Astyanax mexicanus: one gene and its partner. The protein of the gene in region 2 purifies or fractionates together with the protein of the main gene of each other region. This does not show direct contact. Links are inferred from orthologs where the notes say so. Each region holds a gene or a part of one and is shown on either strand. Other genes may lie near its edges. The genes, in order: irak1 and peli2.

Region 1 (11,683 bases), on a different chromosome or scaffold from region 2:
TCACATAAGAATCTTGATTCTCATTTACTACGATTCAGAATCGATTTAAAATGTCCCAAAATCGATTCTGAGGGGCGGGTTTTGGACTGATTTTGGGCTGGGTATTTTTGTTGGACCTGGCAACCCGCTTGTCCCTTCAAACCGAGGTCTTCCAGACCCACACAGAGCGTAGTAGGTGTTTGAGAATCACCGGTAAGATGGCAGAACAAGCACTATATTACCTTAGATTAACGTGTAGTTTTAATGTTTTATGGCAGAATGCTTCATAACAAGCATAAAAAAGATCGCTAGTAGTTAGTTTCAGTAACTGTTAGCTAGCTAACAAGCTAACTTTCCAGTTCCACCTTAAATAACGCTACAGGTGGCTGCGGGCTGCAGCATTTAAGGCGGAACGGAAAAATAACAATAAGCTAATCAGAGCTCATTTCAGCTCCTCATCACAGAGGAATTAAGGAATGGACAATATGAATTAATTTCTCCACCTCCTGCCCCCTTTCTGAAGAAATACAACGACCTTAAATTAACTAGTTAATCAGCAGCTGCTCCTGAACTTTAGCGCTCCACTGCTATCATCACATCAGCCCAGCAGCGTCACCTACACACCACCGCTAGTAGCCTTGTAATAAAGCAGTGTTATTTATTATTTATTTATTGTTCATTAACGTCATTGTGATATCCCAGTGATTCCTCTGTCACTGAGGACCCACATTCCTGCACATTTTATTGTTTTTGTAACACATTACTTGCTCCAGGACCAGTGTATATTATGGAGGGTTTTTTTTTCAATAAGATTCATAAGCCAGAAGCAGAAATTTTTATAATTCAAATCGTTTTGAATCAAAAATCGATTTTGAATCGAATCGTGGCCCCCAAAATCGGAATCGAATCGAATCGTGAGATAGTAATCGATTCCCACCCCTAATGGAAACATATGACTAGTCATAATTACATGAAGGATTTGTATGTGGTTCTCATATGACTGTTCAGCATGACATTGTAGATCTGTAGATCTGATAATATTACTAGTAAAAAGTTAATAGATTTCCATAGAATTTCTAGAGTTTTTTAGTAAAAAAACTGCATTACAAAGATTCTGAACTGGAGTTTTTTACCAGTAAAAAATGAATACCAAGGACAGTGAGTCAACGTTCAGTTTTCCATTACTACATTGAAACAACTGTGCTCCAACTGCAACAATGAATTGACATTACAATATTATATAGACAGTACCATTCAAAAAATTGTATACACCTCTTCTCATTTAATGAGGTATTACAGCTATACAGTAACTTTGAGGGCAAATTAATCTAGTGACAAAATTGAAAGAGTCTGGTAATACATTAGCAGTTTTATTTTTAGGGATATAAAACAGCAATGCTTACTGTTGAGATCAGAAGGTAGATTATCTATTATTTATGCTGAAGTTTATGCTCTCTTTTTCTGTCTCTCACACTTATGTGGTCACGCACACACAAACACATACAGCTGATGTCATGTTTCCGCTGTTGAGTGTGAAATATGGAACTACTACATTAGCGTTTATTGTCTCCATTAAACTCAGTAATATGTTTGAGATATTATATATTATATAAAAAAAGAATCTAGGCTGACAGGTGTAAAAACCAAACACCATTATTTTTGTCCCATTCCCAAAAATACAGTTAAGTACATAATCCTGATTTCATCCATGATTTAATCACAGAATATTGTTAAGATTTTTACCATTATTTGAAGGGACTGGTACTAATAAGACATGATTGTCTTATTTATGCAGAAATTTAAAACATTCTATAAGGTTCACAAACTTACAAGTACAACTATATATTATTATATCCAATCCATTATTTAAAAATCTGCCTAATTTACTCATTTATTCTGGAATTTACTGAGGTCATGAGAGCAACCCATTTTTTCACTAATGTTTGTAGATATCTGCATGCCTAGCTGCTTGGTTTTATACACCTGAATTCAGAATACAGAATATTGTTGTGACAATTATTTCAAGACATTAGCACCAATAAAACAAAGTCATATTTATGAAGAAGAAAATATCTAGAAAATCCTAGAGGGTTTACAAATGAGAACATCTAATCCAATTTTTTTTTTTATCTACCCAATTTATATTTGGCTTTATGCACCTGAATTCAGTGATTTGCAATGGTGAGCAATAAAGTGTTGAAAACATTCACAACTGCAAGATGATATTTTCAGCCTACTCGAAATGTGTCATTTTTACATTAATAGCTGAATATGGAGCTACCCTGGCATTTATTTTCTCCATTACACTAAGTAACTCACATTTACACACAACAATATTCTAGTTTAAAAAGCATCAACACTACTCTGAGATATTATAATACAGTAAAAAGAAGTCTTCCAGGTGTAAAGCACACTACATCATTATTTTGTTCCATTCTCAAGTAAATAAATAATGATTTAACCATGATTTAGTCCGTTTAAAAGCATCAAAACTACCCTGAGATATTATAATACAGAAAAAAAGGATCTAGTCTGCCAGATATAAACCATACTACACCATTATGTGTGTCATATTCCCAAAAATATAGTTTACATGGTTCATACACGTTTTAATCAATACATTTCCATTATATTTCCATGACTTTTGTAATGCCCTCCGGGCAAATTTCATGACCATACGATTTTTAAAACATCAGTGCAGACATGGACAATAAAACCAAAAATCAACTAAAACATTTTCTCCATCTATAAACGGAAATATAAAGATTTGTAGACCAAATTTCCATGACTTTTCAAAAACTTTGTGGTCATTATTATTTTTCCAAAACTTATCCAGGACTGAAAATTGCTATTTTCAAGTTCCATTACTTTTACAGGTTTTTCATGACCGTACAAATCCTGCGTTTATATCCAGCATTTAAAAAATGTAATCAATATTGCTTTGACAAATATTTTAAGTGATTGTCACTAATAAAACAAGGCCGTATTTATGCAGAAATCTAGAAAATTCTAGAGGGTTCATTAACTTTAAAGCAACAGTGTATTAAAATATCCAATACAGCCTTTATTTAGGCAGATGTTTAAATAAAACAAAAACTGTAGATAAACTGTGGGTTAACTATTTAACATATCTAGATACGCTAAGCTAACTGTCAACACTTAACCAGGCTAATTAGCTAACTGACCTAAACTACTTTTAGTCGTTTGACCAGATGACATGTTTAGCTTTGAAGGGTAACGTTAACAGCAATGACAAGTGGTTTAATTAGAGGCATAATTTAGTCAGAAACTTAAGCTAATTAATATTAATAGCAGCACAACTAAGGTAAGTTGAGTTAGCTAGCTAAATTATCATTATTATTGGTCATAGAGCTAGCTAAATAACCTAGCGAGCTAACTGGCTAACTAACCCCTTAACTTTCACTCACGTTGAGGAAGTTAGCCAGCTAGCCAGGCTAGCCTTGTACAACACTGTTTTAAGCTATGTTAGCTAGCTTAGCTAACTAGCTAACAATTCAATAACCTGTGTTCTGTCAAGTTCTAATACCATGTCAAGTTCTAATACCGTGCTACCCTAGTGTGTACGTTTAAGTGTACAAATTAGAATAAAGTTAAAGCACTATATGTTAGGTGATTAAAAACATTTATTATATATATAGTTATATTTTTATTATATTTTTTATAACTTTTTTTATTTTTATTTTTTACACGGTTGTAACACTCAAGTAAAATATATATCCATATGAGTGTGAGTCCAGATTGTACTAAATAAATAAATTAATTAATTAATTAACTTAAATTAACTAAATTATCAGGAAAAACTAGAAGTAAGTAACCCAGGTCCAGAAAGCAAAAATCCATCCCAGGGTTTTGTACCAACTGCCAACCAAGCCAAGCTGCGGAAGAGCCGCCCAGGCAGTTGGTACAAAACCCTGGGATGGATTTTTGCTTTCTGGACCTGGGTTATCCACCTCTAGGGAAAAACACATGAAAACATAGTAGCACATATCTATGGGGAGCACAACTCGATAAAACACCACCTACATCAAAACTTAACGCTAACTAAAGCGTGTCAGTTAGCTAAAACAGCTCAAATAAAGCGAAGTTACGTGGCTTAATAACCCTGAATAACTTAAAAATTAACTTAACGTTTTGTTAACGCTAATTTATCCTTACCAAATCTCAGCCAGTCCGAAACAGGCAGCGAATCCATGACCCGGGTAAATTCATTCACCACAGCCGCTGGTAAATCGTAGATATATTCGCTGTAAAGTCTCATATCGGACATTTCTGGAGCTGGGCGATGTGTTAAACCCTGTAGGAAGATTTTAAGATGTTTCAGCAGCTAGCGTGGCTAAAGCAGCCCGAGTTATTTCCACATGAGCTCGGAGTGAACCGAGTGAACGGCTCCCAGCGGGCAGAAGAGCAGTGAGTAATCCAAGCCCGTCCAGCAGCAGTACGAGTTTGACATAAATTCCCGTCCGTTCTAGGTGACTGACTGGTTGAGAATCCCAGTTTAGCAGGGCTGTGTTCTCCCACAGCCATGCTGTGTCATGCTTGGCAAGGTTAGCTACTTTCCTCTCCGTGTGTGTGTGTTTTTTTTTTTTCAGCAAGCTCTATATCTGTATAACCCACTGTTTTACACTTCCTCTTTCCTCACTTAGCTAGCCCACTTCCAGGCTGTGAACTTCTATCTACATAAACTGTAGTTATTGGTGATTAGTGCTGGGCTATATGGACCAAAGAATGAATTAATAAATAAATAAATCCGATCAGTCTGTCTGATTTAACTATATATATATATATATATATATATATATATATATATATATATATATATATATATATATATATATGTTTGAGTAAAATGAACACTGTGGTTACAAATAAAAATATTGTCATTTAGAGTATTGATTTGCAATAAATGAGAAATGGCTGAAATAACAAAAAGGGGACCTCAAATTTCAGACCTCAAATAATGCAAAGATTTCAGAAATCAATATTTGGTGGAATAACCCTGGTTTTTAATCACAGTTTCCTTGGCATGTTCTCCTCCACCAGTCTTACACACTGCTTTTGGATAACTTTATGCCACTCCTGGCACACAAATTCAAGCCATCAAACCAAGCTGAACTGCTTGAATTTTTTCACAAGGAGTGGCATAAAGTTATCCAAGACTGGCAGAGGAGAACATTCCTCATTTCAGAAGATGCATGAAAACTGTGATTAGAAACCAGGGTTATTCCACTTATGAATATGAGCTTGTTTTTTGGCATTATTTGAGGCCTAAAATCTTTTTTGTTATTTCAGCCATTTCTCATTTTCTGCAAATAAATGCTCTAAATGACAATATTTTTATTTGTGATAAATGTTGTCTGTAGTTTATAGAATAAAACAACAATGTTCATTTTGCTGGAACATATACCTATAAAAAGCAAAATCAGAGAAACTTATTCAGAAACTGAAGTGGTCTCTTAATTTTATTTCCAGAGCTATAAATCACAATTTTTTTCAAAATTGTATTTATTTTAAATGTTAAATGCTAAACTTCATAAAATGTTTTATTTTATTTTATTTTTTTGATGATTTTTATATTTTTTTTAACATTATGTCACCAATTTTACAGCTGAATTGGTTCATACTGTATTGAAATGTGTATCAAAATGATGCTGTTTGGGTAGAGTACAGTAGTACAATTGCACCACTGTTATTGAAATATTGATCAGAATAAATATTGATATTTAATTATTGTCCAGTCCTATACATGACTGCATGACATAAGCAAAATTGCATGACACTTATTTAAGAGGTTGAGTTCAGTTTCTGTCTAGAAGTAGGTAAAAAGTAAGAGTGTTCAGCATGTTTTGATGAAGGGAGATTCCACCTCCATGAGTCAATTCTGGAGATCTAATCAGATTTGGCGGTTCGGTGGTGTAAAATGGTTTAAGCGGTTCATGGTGGAGAAACCCTGTTACAGTAATTTATGTACTGTCTTTCTAGAACAGTAGTGACTAGGTCTGCAACACAAATATATCTATTTAATGTAGCAACTAAAACAGCCAGTGAAGCTAAATATGTGTTCTGAGATGAACTTACAAGCTATACTTTAATCAGTTTTTGACACATATCTTAAAAGTATATAAGGAGAGCCACATCAAAATCAAATATCCAGTCTTACATACAGTATTTGTGAGCAACAAAAGTATGTGAACATGCTTTTAGTTTCTGTTGTGACTCCTTTGTGCACCAATAAGTGCAACTAAATGTTTCCAGTAACTGTTGCTCAGTCCTACACATCCACTTTAGCACATTTTAAGCACATTCCTTCAATCCTGTGGTAGAATGTTTATGTGTGTAGGGTCACTGTCTTGCTGCATGACCCACATTCACTTGAGATTAAATTTACAGTATGATGGTATGTGCTGGTATCCGGCCTGGCCCAGATGCAACAAAAAAGGCTCAAACCATGAAACTATAACCGTGTTTTACAGAGAAAATAAGGTTTTTGTGCTGGAAATTGTTTTCTTTCTTCAACCATAATGCTCCTCATTTATAATTCAAATCTCTATATTGGCCTCATCTGTCTTAAAAACATTGTTCCAGTAGCCGTTCAAGTGCGTGACCAAACCACAGACACTGACAGATACAGTAAAAAATATTGGATAATATTCTTTTAATAAAAAAAAGCAGGTTTAATATTTGTGTCTCAATTGTTTGATTTGTTTTTTTCTAACCTACTTTTAGGACTTTAGTGACTTTATGCAGCATATATGTGCATTTTTCTGTGAAGACCGATCTCTCTAAAGCAGAGGACAGACTGTTAGTCAGACTGTTATCTGTCCTTGAAAAAAAAATGATGCATGCTTTACAACTTGTGTGTGACTCCTTCAGGACTAAGCAAAGACGAACGAAAATGTGACGAATGTTCCAGAAACCTTTTAAATAATATCTTTTTAAAGGTCAGATGGACTGAAAATATCACCAGACGTGAAAGACACTGCTGCTCTAGATATGGTCAGAGGGGCCCAAAAAATGGATAAAATGTCCTCACAGACCACCAGTGTGGAGCTCAGGTAGAAATCAGCAAACTGGGAGTTGCTATTGGTTTTTACTTTTTTTTATGGAGCTGAAGGCAAACATTGCGAGGGTTAATCTTTGCCTAGTCCTTGGGCCACAGATCTCACTCTGTTTTGGAACTGTTCATTTTAATTTCCTTTTATCTTTACATCCAAAAAAAACTCTAGTCAAACTGGCAAAATCTATTTTTGGACTCTGAATTATTTATTTATTACTAAATCTTACATTATTATAGTACCATTGTACCAAAACTACTTTAGTAATTATAAAATTGATGCTGTAATACTAATGTCACGAGAGTAAGTTGTAAAGTGCTCTTATTGTAGCTGTTTATTATTAGTACTACTTACTTTTCCAGCCATTTGTTGTCCAACCTTTTTTAGATGTATTGCTGCAGTAGGTTCTAAATAGCTTTAACGTCTGATATTTGTTCTATTGTGAATAAAACATGTCTCTGTGAGATTTACAAAGTATATCTGAAGAAACATATGTAAAAAAAAAAATTTAAATAAAAAAAATGTACATAAACAAAGTAAAAACTACTTGTGTGATTTTTGACAGTTCTGGGGAATCTTATCAAATTAAGTTTCAATATTTTTTTGTGTGAAATGTATTTATTATTAATTACTTTAAAGAAATTTTAAATCACAGGAAGTAATTTAAAGTAACTACTCATTACGTGGTGAAACCCATACCATAACAGCATTAAATATGATTGAATCTTAAATAATTTTCATTGCTGAGAGTATTTTCGAGTTTATACTTTTTAAAATTTTCAATTGCAAGATAAATAAAAAAAATAAGACATTAAGCACATTTTAGAATGAAAATATGAGATTAGTTTTTACCAAAACCCTAAGTAATGCATACACTTGATTTATAGACACCTAATAATTCTGGAAACGTGTAAAACAAATGTTGAGCATGTTAAGAAAATTAATTAAGATATTTTAAGATAACTCATGGTCGCACCAAATGAGGAAACAAAAATGTTTCATAAGAATTTTCATGTTCGCAAGATTTTTAATGCTTACACTCAAGATTTACTCTTGTTTTTAAGATTTTAAAACCCTCAAATATCTATGACCCATATACTGGCTCTGCAACGTTTTAACTTTAACTGCAGAGTGTGAGATTACTGCTATATATGGTTTAACACCTCACTACGTTTACCTTACCTGATTTCACCCCACAGATGATTCTTCGAGGGCCTTCGAGGAGCTGGATGTGCCGCACTGTGAAAGGACCAGCCCCTCCAGGGACCCGGTTCCAGATCTCAGGTCAGTGATGAACACCTCATATTAATGCATGATGCAGCTGCATTTTCAGCACGGCAGCTTTTGAGATTCCACTCCAGAGTCCATAATTGGAGACTTCATTTGCAGGCAGCTGGATGGATTTTTTCACAACACAGTATATATTTTTTTCTAGTGCATGAGCTTCAGACGAGGCTTTCTTCTGGGACGATGGTCATGCTGTAGCTCATTTTCAGGAATTTAAATCCTTGGCCATAAAAAAAAAAAATAATAATAAAAAAAAAAAATTAAATCATTAATGCTCACCTGATTTTCTACTTATACTTTCTTACTAATGTACTCTGAATGCAGAGATATGCAGAAAAATAAAATATATCATTTTGTGGTCTTATTTATTTTGTGCAGTTTTGATATTTAATTTTATTGTAGTAAATTGTATACATGTATTTGTCACATTCCTCTTTAGTTTCTTTAAAAAAAAAACTTGCTCTTAAATTCACTTTGCATGCATATGTATGTTTAAGTGGGGTTTTGAAGGCTATTTTTATTTATTTATTTGTATTTTTAATGATCTTTAGAAAATGTAGGACCCGGGCTGAGATCAGTTGAGAAGCCCTGCTGTAGATATTATTATGTTAAGTGTACCTACAATAAAACATGTTATATCTCAGTGACAGGAAACTGCAGGGAAAAATGTGAGACCTCAGTGGAACTTCCCCGTATTAGAAGCTTCAAGGCTACTTCTATCCTATCACACTATTGAGTAACTGCACTACTGAAGCACTACTACTGAATTTTTGGCTTCATGCCATCATGTCACATCTCTCATCTCCCCTCTCGTGATACCTGACTTCCAAGAAACTCCACGGTTAATTAAAATGTTATGCAATTTCAATGGAATATCTGACTCAACAACAACGTCAGCAAGTATTGTTTCAACTTGAGTTAAAAAGGAGAAAAAAAAGAGGGTCGGTTTCCCAGACACTTATTAGGCCTAGTCATAGACTGTATTTTCCTTTTACTGGACAATCTACATTTAAAGTGCCTAGTCTTGTATAATCCAAGACTAGGCTTAATCAATGTCTGGAAAACTAACCCTGTAAGTCTTTATCCTAGACTAGTGCACTTTACACATATAAAAACACATAATACCTGCATTATTTATGGGCTAAAACATGTGCAATCCTCCAATCATACACATTTTATTTTCAAACATTTCATGTTAAGCCTAACATCAGTTTGTGAGCTTAAAAAAAAAAAGGAAAAATAATAAAATGTCTAGGCAAATGATGTAGCACTCGCCACTAGGGGGGAAAAAGAACAAAAAAAGGCAAAATAACTGAAACAAAAACAGAGCAATCGGAGTGAACCCCCTTAAAAGAGGAGTAGTCGAACCAAATCTGGCTGCGGAGCCACAGTGTCTGACTGAAGCTCACCTGTGACGAGAGCGAAAGAAACATTTTAGACAGGAAGAAGGTAAATGTTGTTTACTGTTGTGTATCTGTTACATACGGCAAACAAATAATACAGTAACACATTACTATAAAAGTAGACACAAACTATACTTTTCACTTTCAGGAAGGCAAGGACTTAAATTGGCAAATGGTGAGTAACCAGTGACACCTAGGCTGTAGGATTGTTTGGTTAAAATAATAATAATATACTTTTTTTTTCTCATTTTTATTTTTTTTTTGTCTTTGAAGATACATAGTACTACCCATCCCTTTTATTTCAAACTAAATCAAAACATATGAAAAAAAAACAGCAACTTCGGACAACGGTAAAAAATACATACAAAACGTTAATGGGTGTCCTGCCAGGAAACATACTTTATAAAGTGCAGATCTTTTAATTCATTGTCACCAGTCGTGGTTGAAATATTCCTTTCATAAAATGCAAAATTGTGGTTGGAAGATACAGTTTGAGGCAGGCTCTAATGACGAGTAACTCGCGATGTTAAAATGAAGAAGAACATTTCCCGACAAACACACGTCACCCGACTCGAGAGACACATTCAACATACCAGGGATGAAAAATACCAAGATCCTATCACCTTTTACACAGTCGATATTGCCCAAGAAGGTTTTTCCTAATTTATTCCAAATGCGCATTTTTCCCCCCGTATGAAAATAAAACAAGGCAAACGTATCGCTGATCTCTAGAAATCCTTAACACACCCAAAGCACTGAATACCAACAAGAGGCAAAACACAGGACTCAGAATAAAAATACAACTACGGTATAAAGATAAATTTCTATTACTGAAACTTCAAGGCACAAGACTATGTCAAATAGACCATGAACTTTCTACCGATGAAGTTTGGAACCTATTTCCTGTAGCTGAACTGGACTCTGTGACTTTGTTTGACCTTCATCTTTCAGTCTTGCTTGCTTTGAGCTTAGCTGAAGTGCTGTAGTTAAATTCAGGTACTTACTGGTAAATTAAAATTTGTACTTCAGGCATTAGTAGTAAGAATTCAATTTTACATTTTTTTTATTATTATTTTCTCTTCTTTAAATATATAACAGTGCACACAATCTAAAGACACAAGAATGACAGAAACGCAAATCAGATCTACTGAATATACTATTGCTTTTAAGGTAAAATAGTCTACTCCTGACATTGGCTTAAAATTCCAACACTAAGATTCACAAATAATAATAATAATAATTTACTTGGAATACTTTTGCCACTGCATTGGGGACTAGAGTAATAGCTTTAGGAGCCTGTGTGGAACCATTATCACTATTAATAACCATCATTATCATCTTCTTCTTCACCTTCTTTAATTGGTTATATAAACAAGCGGGGTCGTAACATATAAAATTAAATAAATAATAATAATAATAATAATAATAATAATAATAAAAAGAAAAACGTAACTCAAAAAATATTCCTGTCCAACAAAACTGCTGAAAAAAGAACTGACTTTATCTTTTTTTCCACATTTTGTTAATTTTTGTTTATCAATTTTTTTTTGTATTTATTTATATTTTTTACTTAATTGCACAAACAGGTGACCTTGTCGTTTTCCGAACTCGTTCAGCGTTCAAGCTCTCGTTAATCTACCCTCAAAGATTTTTTTTATGGCCAGATGGTTCGGCTCAGCTCTTGGAGAGAAGTGTCGTCCCGAAAACGTCGTTACGAAGAATAGTAAAGGGCAAGCAATGTACTACCTTCTAATGGCAATCATGCATATTGATACATGTTCACATACATAGCATGTATTTTTGGCTACAGGGACACAAGGACATTCCATAGCATATTTGTCTGCCAGAGGCACAAAAACAGATAAATAAATGTAAATCTGTAAGTCTTATTTTTCTTGTAGGACTCCATATTTTTGACAGTGGGCATCGAGTGCTACAAAA
Region 2 (10,834 bases):
CGGGTGGTCTTGCTTAACCTGGTATAGAAAAAATAGAAAGTAAAACAAAACCTGCCAAAACACTTTTGATTGGCAATATGGAGTTGGCCAAATGTTTTGTGGTCATACAAAACAAAAATGAAGCTTTTTGGAAATGTGTTGCATAGATCTAACACAGTTCATGCCTCAGAAAACAACATCCCTACAATGAAGTTTTGGGGTAGTAGTATAATGATCTGTCTCTGCCTTCCCCTTAGTGGGGAATGGGTATTTTTCATTCCCATTCAGTAGGACAAAGTACCACAGTCAAATAGAAGTCTATTAAAGTCTTTAAAATTGAAGTACAACCATCCTGGAAAAAACGATATATGCTTTGAGGTATCATCTTGTGAGTGAGACTGAACACTGTAACATAGCAAGGCAATGTTAATTATCAGAGTTTGAGTGAGGCCTGATCGTGGGTTCCAGATGGATGAGACATCATTTTTAATTTGCACAGGCATTAACTTTCCCATTTGGAATGTCAGTATGTAATGGTTTGGATTTATAAAAAAAAAAAAAATACTGGGTGGCATAATATATTTAAGAGTAATCTGTGCATATAAACCGATGGCTTGTGTTATTCAGGAGAACCATATGTAACAGATACCAAACCTGACTAAATCAGGCTGCAACAGGTATGCTGTAGGGTTGATCTTAATGTTTGTGGCTTGTTAACCTTCTTGGGCAGTAGCTCTTTATATACACTACTTAAACCCTCTGAGAATCTGAAAATGCAGGGTAGGAGAAATAAGAGCCTGAGTAATGAATGGGATGGAAATCTCATGGTATCGTCTCTAACAGAAGAGCTCAGCTGAAACTAGCTAATTGTAATCTTCTTCCCTTTTGACCTTAGGCAGACAGGCTGGAGGAGTTATCCTCCAATGCTCTGCGGAAAAGATTAGCCACACCTGTCCTCAACTGAGGGGCCTTTCCTACAGACCCATCAGCACTTCTCGACACAAATCACAGAGCAAAAACTGCATTTTAGGGCTGGAATTTCACAAGTTAGTTAAAATAATCCAGAGGGATTACAACAGCCATATGGTGGAATTCCTCATCTGCAATGAACCTAAACAGAACAGCAACACCTTAAAACAAATCACACGTCCACCGCAGAGCATTTCTGTTGTGAATTTTGCTGCACACATGGAAGAGTAAAACAGGCATTTAAATTTTATACAGTTAAGAATCTGAGTGAACCAATAATAAATAGCAAACTAAGGCTAGACAATAATTTAAATCCAATACACACAATCATACATATACTTTTCTGGTAATGGCAATATACCTTAATGTTAGACATCTGTTCTGGGTGTTGTGTGCAGCTTTTCTGTGGCTTTTATGTTCATACAGACAATAGAATTATACCATATTGTCTGAAATTAAAAAATATATTATAATGTGCCTTTTTTCTCATGTCATCCAGCCCTATATCAGAGTAAATAAAACATTTACACGCTTATGGCAACATGTGATGTTTAACCCTTAAAACAAACAACAATTGTTTACAGCCCATACTTTAACTCCTCACTCCCAAACAACATAAGTTTCTTGTTTGTTTACATTTACAGAAGATAGAAATGAACTTGAATTTGCAGTTACTGAATAACAGGTCTTGAAGGTGACAGAACACAGAATTAACATGTCTAGACACAGTGTTAAAATAGCCAGATTTACTGGCAACATTTATTTTACCACAACATACTGCTATACTTAGGGATGCACAATTATTTATATGCATGTTGGAGGCCACACTACAACAATTAGCCAACACTGGCCATTGATTTAAGATCATTTCTATTTATTTGTATTTGTTTCAATAAATCTGTTGCTTTATTTAACATGTTAATTTGAAAAAGAAATGTTTAAAGCTGTTACCAGTCAGCTAAGTTAATGTGAATCCAAACTTTCAGGAGACACCTTTTTTTTTGCATTTAATTGCCAAAAACTAATATGTAAGGGAAATAAACGTGACATTTGTTTTTAAAGTTATACTAGGGAGTCTAATCTCTGTGTTTACGTGTGTATATCTGTATCAGCAGATATGTACATGCAATATAGATATTGCATTGGCCCAGAATTCCCACATCGGTGCATCCCTTGCAATCCTAATGATGTTAGAAGAATGCCCTTATCTGGAATGCTGTTAGGTTAGAGTTACAGCATTGCACAGATACTCTCAAACTTCCTGAGCTTTTGTATTTTCAAATGCAACTTTTGGTATCCTTTCTTCAGCTAATGCCATCAAGCACAGACAGGAGCACAAGATTTGGTTCCAAAAGCAAACCATTGGTCACCATCTGGCACCAATATGTATGCTATGCATATCTGCATATCTAAGAAAAGTCAATACAAAAAAAATCATACAACATCATGAAACATCAGAATTAAGGAGTTTAAATAGGGGTCGTGTGTGAGCATTCGGTAAAGAGAAAGACACATGACACTGAAAACAGGGCACTATCAATGACTATCAATGGCTGAGAGACATCCATCTTCCTTAGTTTCACTCACAAAGATCAGTCACTGGAAATAAAACTCCTATGCCAGAGGTGTCTTCAGTAAGAAGCCAGCAGGGTCACACAAAGTCCCCCATCAATAAGCCCAGTCAGGCCAGTTAGGACAATGAACAGAGACAGCAGGACTGTGGAGACACAGTGGCTGTGCACAGATCAATAATACGCTCTTTCAGCTGAGGACTCTCCCCTGAGTGTGTCAGTGGGCAGTGCCAGGCAGGACAGCAAAGGCATGGTACTGTTGCTAGCTTTGCCTGAAACTGGGTGAACTGATGTGCTAGAGCACACTGGATCACAAACAATAATACTTTGTGAGGACTTACTAAAGTTGACCAATAACCAGTTTAGCATAGTGTACCTTTGAGGATTATACTTTTTTTGAGGGGCTAAGAAAAAAAAACTTGTACATAAATAAGTTATCTGTTCTTTAAAGGAGAACACCAGTATGAAATTGACTTTGTGTGTAGTGAATAATTATAACGGAGTACAAACGTTTGTGGAATAGCCCAACTCACATTTATCCCCAGCATTCTGAAACAAAGCAATTTAAGCCAATGCTCCCAACAGGCTTACAATGCTAGCAGGAAGGGCATAGCATTGCCCATATGAAGAAAGTCAACATTATCAAGCATACTGAGAATACTGAAGGTGCTCAGGTAGTTTATTTAAAAAAAGACAGTTTATACACACAGTACCTTCAGGATGTTCTATGGTAGCCGCCATCAAAAAATTAGGTTAAATGATGAATCGGTAAGATAGAGGAACAGATTGCACAATTAAATCTGTGGAAATGCGTGAAAATTGGAGATATTTTTAGCAACAGTTGGAATTCATGCATTTCAACAGAATTAATTTTGCAACCTGTAAAACTTTTATAAACTATCTGTACACTTTCACTTGTTTTAAATGTCAGGGACCTCTGAATTCTAACAATGAAGTGTGGAGCTACTTTGAGCTTGCTAATGTTGCAAAAAAATTGCTATTTCTTTGCATGGGCTATGCCCCCATCCCTAGCATTATAAGCCTGTTGGAAGCATTGGCTAAAAGCATTGTACTTTGGAGTGCTGGGGTGAATGAAACAGACATGGGCTATTCGACAAAAGTTTGTACTCATTATCATATTTTACTACAATCCAAGTCGATTTCACATAAGATCTCGCCTTTAAATCTTATAGTAAGTTGCATATTAAAATTCTTTTTAATGATCATACCTTATGAAGATAGGTTTTTAATGTAGATATTCTTTTAAAAACAATATTTAGTTAATGTGTTTTTTTACTCCATAATGTGCAGGTGAAGCTCCCTCTCTACAGGGATAACTATAGGTTAACACATTTCTGTACTCTTCTAAAGGCGCTCAAATAGGCAGCCCTTGTCTAGTTATCAAATAAAGCTGATTTATGATGGGGCTGAGAGAAAGAACCCCTGTAAAAGGGGCCAGTGAAATGGCTCAGTCACTGTGGGGAAAAGGGGGGGGGCAATATAGTTAGCTTACCTATTTCCGAATTCCTTCAGAGCCCTAAATCTCCCTGGAACTTCCTGAACTAGTGGCGAGTGGAGCTTTACTTAGCTAGCTCAGTGAAATTAATGCAACACAGTGAACGAAAGAGAGCGAGCTCTGAACGCAGAATCCTCGAGATTTCTTCCTGTGCGAGGGTTTGGGTTCGGCTAAATGTGGTTAACGTGATTAGAGGCGTTAAGTCATTATCGGCGTGTGTTTAGCTGCTATAATTAGGATAAAGTAATGCGAGATATATCTAAATAATCAGTCCTGTAGCGCGGCAGATTGAAGAGGAGCACGGCCTAAGTTTGGCTTTTGCCTGGTGAATACTCGCAGGGACGTCGCACGTGTTTCATTTGTTGAGTAACGTGAGCGCGTGAATTGTGAGAGATTGGGAGGGGGTCCGCTCGCTCTTTCGGATAGCTATCCTAGCTATAGGCTACCGACCGTGTAAACAAGCACCAAGATAACTGCCTAGATAACTGTGGATTTCCCCCCGATATGGGAACGTTTTGTAGACACGAAGTGAAACACCAGTCAGTCCTCAGTTCGCGTTTATCTCAGGCATGTTTATTATTATCCCAGCCTAGAACAGCGTGTACTCTGATAGCTAGCTTAAGTTAAGTAACGTTAGAGGTTCAACTTAACTTTCCAACCAAAAACAATCTATTTGGAGATGAACTGTTGCTGTTATTTAAGGTTTTAAACTCAACTCACCCCAGAACTACCAGCTCCCCGTACTTCACAGGCTCTTTGGTGGGTCCACAGTGCTCCTCTTGGCCCGGTGAAAACATGAGGCTGCTAACCCTCCAAACTTCTCCACTCGAACTCGTCTCTCAGGATGGAGTTGGTCGAGCCAGTCCAGTGAAAAAAGATCACAGGGAAAAAATACTTCAAAGGACGAGACTAACAGCCATTTTCCGCCTGGTTCCCGCTGCCTCTTAAACCCTGCTCTTCTCTCAAAATAAATAAGCTGAATTCAAGTATCAGAAACAGGGCGTACAGTCAAGAATGCGCGTTTGAGAAACATTTCACAATCCCAAAAATACGCCTAACTTCGTGCTTTCACCGTTCTCTCTGCCAAGTGGAAAAACATTACACGGTAGGGGGTGGAACATACCACTCACTTACGCCTACTTTATACGGGGGGAGGACGGACTGCAGTTTCTATAAACATTAGAATCTGCCTTTCCTGCTTTAGACGTGTGAAATGCTACATTGTAAACATCCATAATGCTCAGCCAAACATACAGTACCGAAAAACAAGCCTATTCCCAGGGAAATAATCTGGAAGTGAAAGTACAGTCTCCCCCCTGAGTGGAACAGTCCTGGGCCGCCACGGTCTGAGGCGGCACCTTCAATTATGTAAACAAAGAGTAACAGTTGAAAATATTTAAAGGGATACTCACACTTCTGTGTTTTTATTTAGCTCTCCCCACATTAAATTACAAAATAGGAAAAAGTCATCCAAATCACAAAAAGGAGAAAACTTAAAACTACACCACAGTAAATGTGGCTAACTAACATTAAAGGATCACAAAGCGTTTATGATCTGTAGATCTGTATAGAGGAGCACTGACTGTGAGAGTGCATTTAAAGGAGAAATCCTGTGTGAAATGAACTTGGGTTGTAGTGAAACATGGTAACAAGTACAAACTTTACAAAATCACTATTTTTACACCATTAACAAGTTCAAAGTAGCAAAATAGCTTCCACCATTGGTGGAATTCAGAGGGCCCTGACATTTAAAACAAGGCACTGAGGCATTTTAAAGTGCTCAGATAAACTGTTTATATGCACAGTATATTGATGTAGAATCTGGAAATTCACAAGCACAAATAGGTAGAATAGGGGAACAGATTGCAAATTCTGTGGAAATGCATGAATTACTGTTGTTGCTGAAAACATCTCTACAATATTAATGCATTTCCATAGAATTAATTTTCTGTTATAAATTTGTTCCCCTACCCTACCTATTTGTTTGTCCACGCCTGTTAATGTATCCTGATTTAAGTTAAGGTTATTTTGAGCTTATTAATGGTTTAAAAATAACGATTTCTTTGCATGGGGATTGCTACACCCCTATCGCTATTATTGTAAGCCTGTTGGACACAACAGCTAAAAGCACTGTATTTAGGAATGCTGGGGCGGGACAGAGGTGGGATATTCAACAAATGATTTTACTTATCATGTTTCGCCACAGCCCAAGTCCATTTCACACAGGATTTCTCCTTTAAGAGGAAAATTCTGCTGCTTCACATCTTTAAACAGGAAATAACAAGCTGTAGGCCTAATGTTTGGAAAGAATTTATTAAAGCAGGTCAGCATTTCTGAGAGAAAAGCAGACTCTTAGACACCCTTAACTAATTTATCCACACCGTTTTGCTGGACTGTTAAGAAACCACAAAACTGCAGTAAAACAGCTCTCTGGGTTCAGCAGTGTCAGCTTAGCACAGAATCCAAGCACAGTTAAAATAATGACCCAAATCAGAGACAAATAAACTGGCACACGGCATGTAAAAAACACTATTTGCAACAACAAGTTTTAGAAATGTTTATTAGGTCATAGTGTAACACATCAGGCTCTGTACAGTTAATGTTCACTGTAGTGTACCATCATCACAGGCTGCTAAGATAAACTTCATCCTCATCTAGCTCTCTCTTTGTTGCAGCAGATCAGTGCACATGAATGAGTTCAAACATACAATCCAAGGTAAGCTTGAAAAACAGATTCGCACCACAAAACTGTATATTTAAAATCTATTTAAAGTCTTGTCTTGTACGTTTTTTTTTATTTAAAACAGATATATTGTATTGTTTGGTACCTTGTGTATTATAAGCTCTCTGAATAACACTAAACAAACTTCCCAGTCATGTCTATCTCTTGCCATTTGTCATTGGTGCAGTCATTCACACATCCCTGATGAATGTGTCACCTACAGTTTGCACAGTTGTCACTGTCTGGCCCTCTCTTCCTCTGACAACATTTGCAAGTAGTAGTAAACAGGTAATGAAATGTTTTAATATTACCCCAAAATGTGTGGAGAATACTGAAATAACTTATGGCATTTTATAAATATTGTTAATATATCCACTTCCGTTGGCAGGAAACATGTTGAAGGCAGTGAGATAAGTTGCACTTCTAATCTCATTATTTTTGTTAAATTCATATTAAATTTTAATTCAATAATTATAAATGTGTAGAAAATTGACATATTTAAAAATGCTGTAGAAAATCTAGTTAGCACTTGGAGTTGAGGCACAACATGGTGAAAAATGCCCACTCTGTTTCTGTCAACTGTATAGTTTTTTTAAAGTGACATTATGTAGGATTTGGGGATTTGAAGACCTCTCTGCTGTAAATGTGTAAAAATCTTAGGGATGTTTAAGCCAGGACACTGATACCATTAATTAGGATATATGTCTTCTACCAAATTTGGAATATTACAGCTTTCAGTTTAAAAGGAAAAATAATCTTAAAGACTGCTGCTTTAATCTGTGTAATGGTAATAGAGTTGACTGATAAGTCAAATCCTTCAAACTAAAACATACCCGCAATTCAAGAATGGGCAATGTGTAGTATTACAGTCAGGTATTACAGTTACTGTTTATTTTGTGTGGAGCTGATGTAAAACTGTAAAAACTGTAGATAGGAAGGCAGTTATGCAGATATTTCATTAATGAGCTAATATACTGCACATTCAAAGTGAGTTGGACTTTTTTTACATATAATAAACTAAATATGTTTTTTTAAGTTTATTCTTATCATAATACTGACATATTGGTCTTTATATTTATAAAGGATTAGAACTGAAATGGCCATTCATCACACCATAGTTGGTGAGTTTTAATCTCTGCGACACTAATCTGTGTTTAATCTGTTGTTAACACAGCAGGCTAGTCTGAAACTCTGCTCCCTTTGTTTCTATTATCATGTTTATTCAGTTCACTCCATTCAGAGTCAGTCAAGCCAGACCCCCAACAAATCCACAGTTTGTTCCGGTGAAAAACAACGATATGCCGCAAACACCGGGCCGCTTATCCAGGAGCTACTTACGGCAACCGCCGTGTATGTGATGTTGTGTGAAAAGTGGCTCAGGAAAAGAATACAGTAACATTATACCGAAACTTTGATCCAGTCTCCAGAGCACACTCACAAGCACACTTCCAGACAAAGGATCAAAGGCTTGCGTTGCACATACCACCCTGATGGGTTACAGATGCAAGCTGTTGTTCTTAAAAGAAATGTGCCTGGTTTTAATCTGTGCAGTTAGTGTTTCTGCGTGTGAGTGCGCACAATGGAGAACCCAACTGTCAGGAAGACAAAAGTCATGACACATATCCGCAGAGTGCGGAAAGTGGGATTGCGCAATCGTGACGCATCTGGCATGTGGACTGGATTGTGACGTGTGTGAGGCATGCTGCCAATTACTCATCATTACTGCTTCCCCTTATGTGTTATTATGGTCATATGCAGGAATTACTACACAATGTTATGCCTTCTGTTTAGTGCAGCAAACCTGAGGGCCTGTGTTAAACTAGCAGCTCAGTGCTGATGCTATGAAAACAGCTCTTACAGATGACCTCATGAGAATGTTCTGCCCCCAAGGCACATGATGACAGCAGTGCTTCAAGGTGAATTAGGAAAGGTGTTGATTCATGCAGGTATAGCTTACCACGCAATGGTAATACCCTACTACTCTGCGTTTATATGATCTCTCTTTCAGCTACCTTCCAAAAATGACTGGTCACATCCAGTCCCGCAAAGCAGCCAAAGGCTGATGACATGCTTGGAAATGCTGCTGACCTTCACTCTTAAACATGCTGACCTCTTACTCAAAGCAATAGTTAGTGCAAAAATCAGATGTACTGTACACACAGTGCCAGGGAAGGTTTTCTTAAGATTTTAGAGCATTGTTGTGAGGATTTAATTGCATTCAGGGAAAACAGGGTTATTGAGGTTAGGTTGTTGGGTGATCACCACCCTACCTTTTATCTGATCTTCCAAACTCATCCTAGAAGTATTGGATGGAGCTCCATTATTCTAAAGAACACAGTTCTACTGCTCAACAGCTCAGTGCAGAACCAATGTATACTCCTCTAGGACTGTAGTGAGTCCAATTTTAAAAATAAAAGATAGTTTAATTGCAAAATCTGAGGGTATATTATTATAGACCAAAGATCTTGGCTGTTCAGAAAAGTATGGATGCAACCTCCTCATTTTGTATTTTCATAAAGTATGTTTTTTTAAGTTATTACTGTTTTTGTTGACCTTTTTTCCTAAATATATGTGAAGTAAATGATATTGTACGTCTACAGTTATGTTATACTGATAAAAAAAAAACTAAAGAAAAAACATCAGACACCTATTATTGACAGGTTTTTGAGGTCAGAAAAAAACATAACAATAATGTCCTGCATATTGTATCAGTGTTTCCTACTATTATGGCAAACTGTAGTGCCTTACTAGGAGGGAAACAAAAGCACCACCAAAAGAATGAGTGTTTTCAAAAGTGCATACTGTTCTCTTATTAGCACCACTGCATTGTATTTATTTCCAAATGTTTGCTTTCATTGCCAGTATATTGTTCTATTCTTTTTTAATTACGTTTGATGCATTATGATGTGAGTGTAGCACTGTAACCATGTCACCATGTGATAAAGTCTTAACAAAACAGGCCTTTTTGGGACACTCTGTACTCTGTATCATATTGTGGATAATTGTATCGTGCGCATCATTGACTTGGCCTGGTCTGATATTATGCTGGGCAGACTGTGTTGTGGGATTTGGATGGCAGTAGGATCTCCATGTTGACGAGGTCAGGGCCACGGGGAAGGTTTGGTATCAGCTGACTGCAGTGTGATATGTAGGGAGAATGGCTGGAATGTGCTGAAGCTGTGCTACACAGTCTGCTGACCTAAGAACCGCACAAAAGTGCCATTATTGTGCACGTCATGGCCTTCACACAGAATGGTGGAAAGTTCAGGTGCCGAAGGTGAACTTAAATTAGAACTTCAATGGTGTCGTTCAGCTCCCTTCTGTAGATATGTAAACATGTTCAATATACACTTCATGTTAAAACAGGTTACATCCCTCAAGCCCTTTGTGATCTTAATGTAGAGGTAATGCAGAACCCATTATCTTCTTGTCCTGTAGTTCCTATTTGGTTACATGTTCTGTTTTTTTCTCTTTGTATTTTATGAGTCATGATTAGGCCCTATCGGAACTTTAGCTCTGCTTTGTATTTATTACTGTGAGGATCATCTTTCCTAGAAGCTCTTATACATCAGGACTGAAAACCGGTTTTCTGTCACCTTATCCTAAACTGATTATTTAGTGACAAAGTGAGACATTCAATGCACACACTCCAAATAATGTGCATTTTTATAATAAAATTGTAGTTCTACAGTGCTTCAGAGCTGGTCATATACCTTATTCCTTTTACCTCAGAAGCCTCAGAATTGAGCCTGAGTTGATGGCATTCTTAAACACAGATTTTCAAGTTTTCAAGTTTACTACAACAAGTTGACCATAATTTTTAAGTGTTTTAAAGTGGATCCAATCAAAATATCTTCCAATTTTTATGTCTGGGGGTTAGCATTATTAGCTTTGTTAACAACAACAATAGATAACACATTAAATAGTATTTTGCGCACATGTTCACAGATGGAAGTTGGCCAGTTCTATGTTTTAAAACTGGTTAAATGAGACACAAGGAGACACTGTATTATACTACTGTGTTGCATGCTGCAGTCATCTTGGATCCCAAATTTAGGGTTAATAAGACTCTCCCTC

What was found.
Region 1: the proteins of peli2 (region 2) and irak1 purify together in Homo sapiens (affinity purification with western blotting; 7 studies listed by BioGRID and IntAct, with this or other methods). This does not show direct contact. The link is inferred for Astyanax mexicanus from reciprocal best matches to the Homo sapiens genes PELI2 and IRAK1.

Annotation. Positions count from the first base shown.
Region 1 is NC_064419.1:4,120,266-4,131,948, forward strand, and holds the start of irak1 (interleukin-1 receptor-associated kinase 1), read right to left. Parts: upstream 4,601-11,683; 5' UTR 4,268-4,600; coding exon 4,156-4,267; intron 1-4,155. Other genes in the region: mecp2 (methyl-CpG-binding protein 2), read right to left, coding at 9,617-9,748.
Region 2 is NC_064421.1:22,323,971-22,334,804, forward strand, and holds the start of peli2 (E3 ubiquitin-protein ligase pellino homolog 2), read right to left. Parts: upstream 5,428-10,834; 5' UTR 4,833-5,427; coding exon 4,756-4,832; intron 1-4,755. UniProt on the Homo sapiens protein: E3 ubiquitin ligase catalyzing the covalent attachment of ubiquitin moieties onto substrate proteins. Involved in the TLR and IL-1 signaling pathways via interaction with the complex containing IRAK kinases and TRAF6.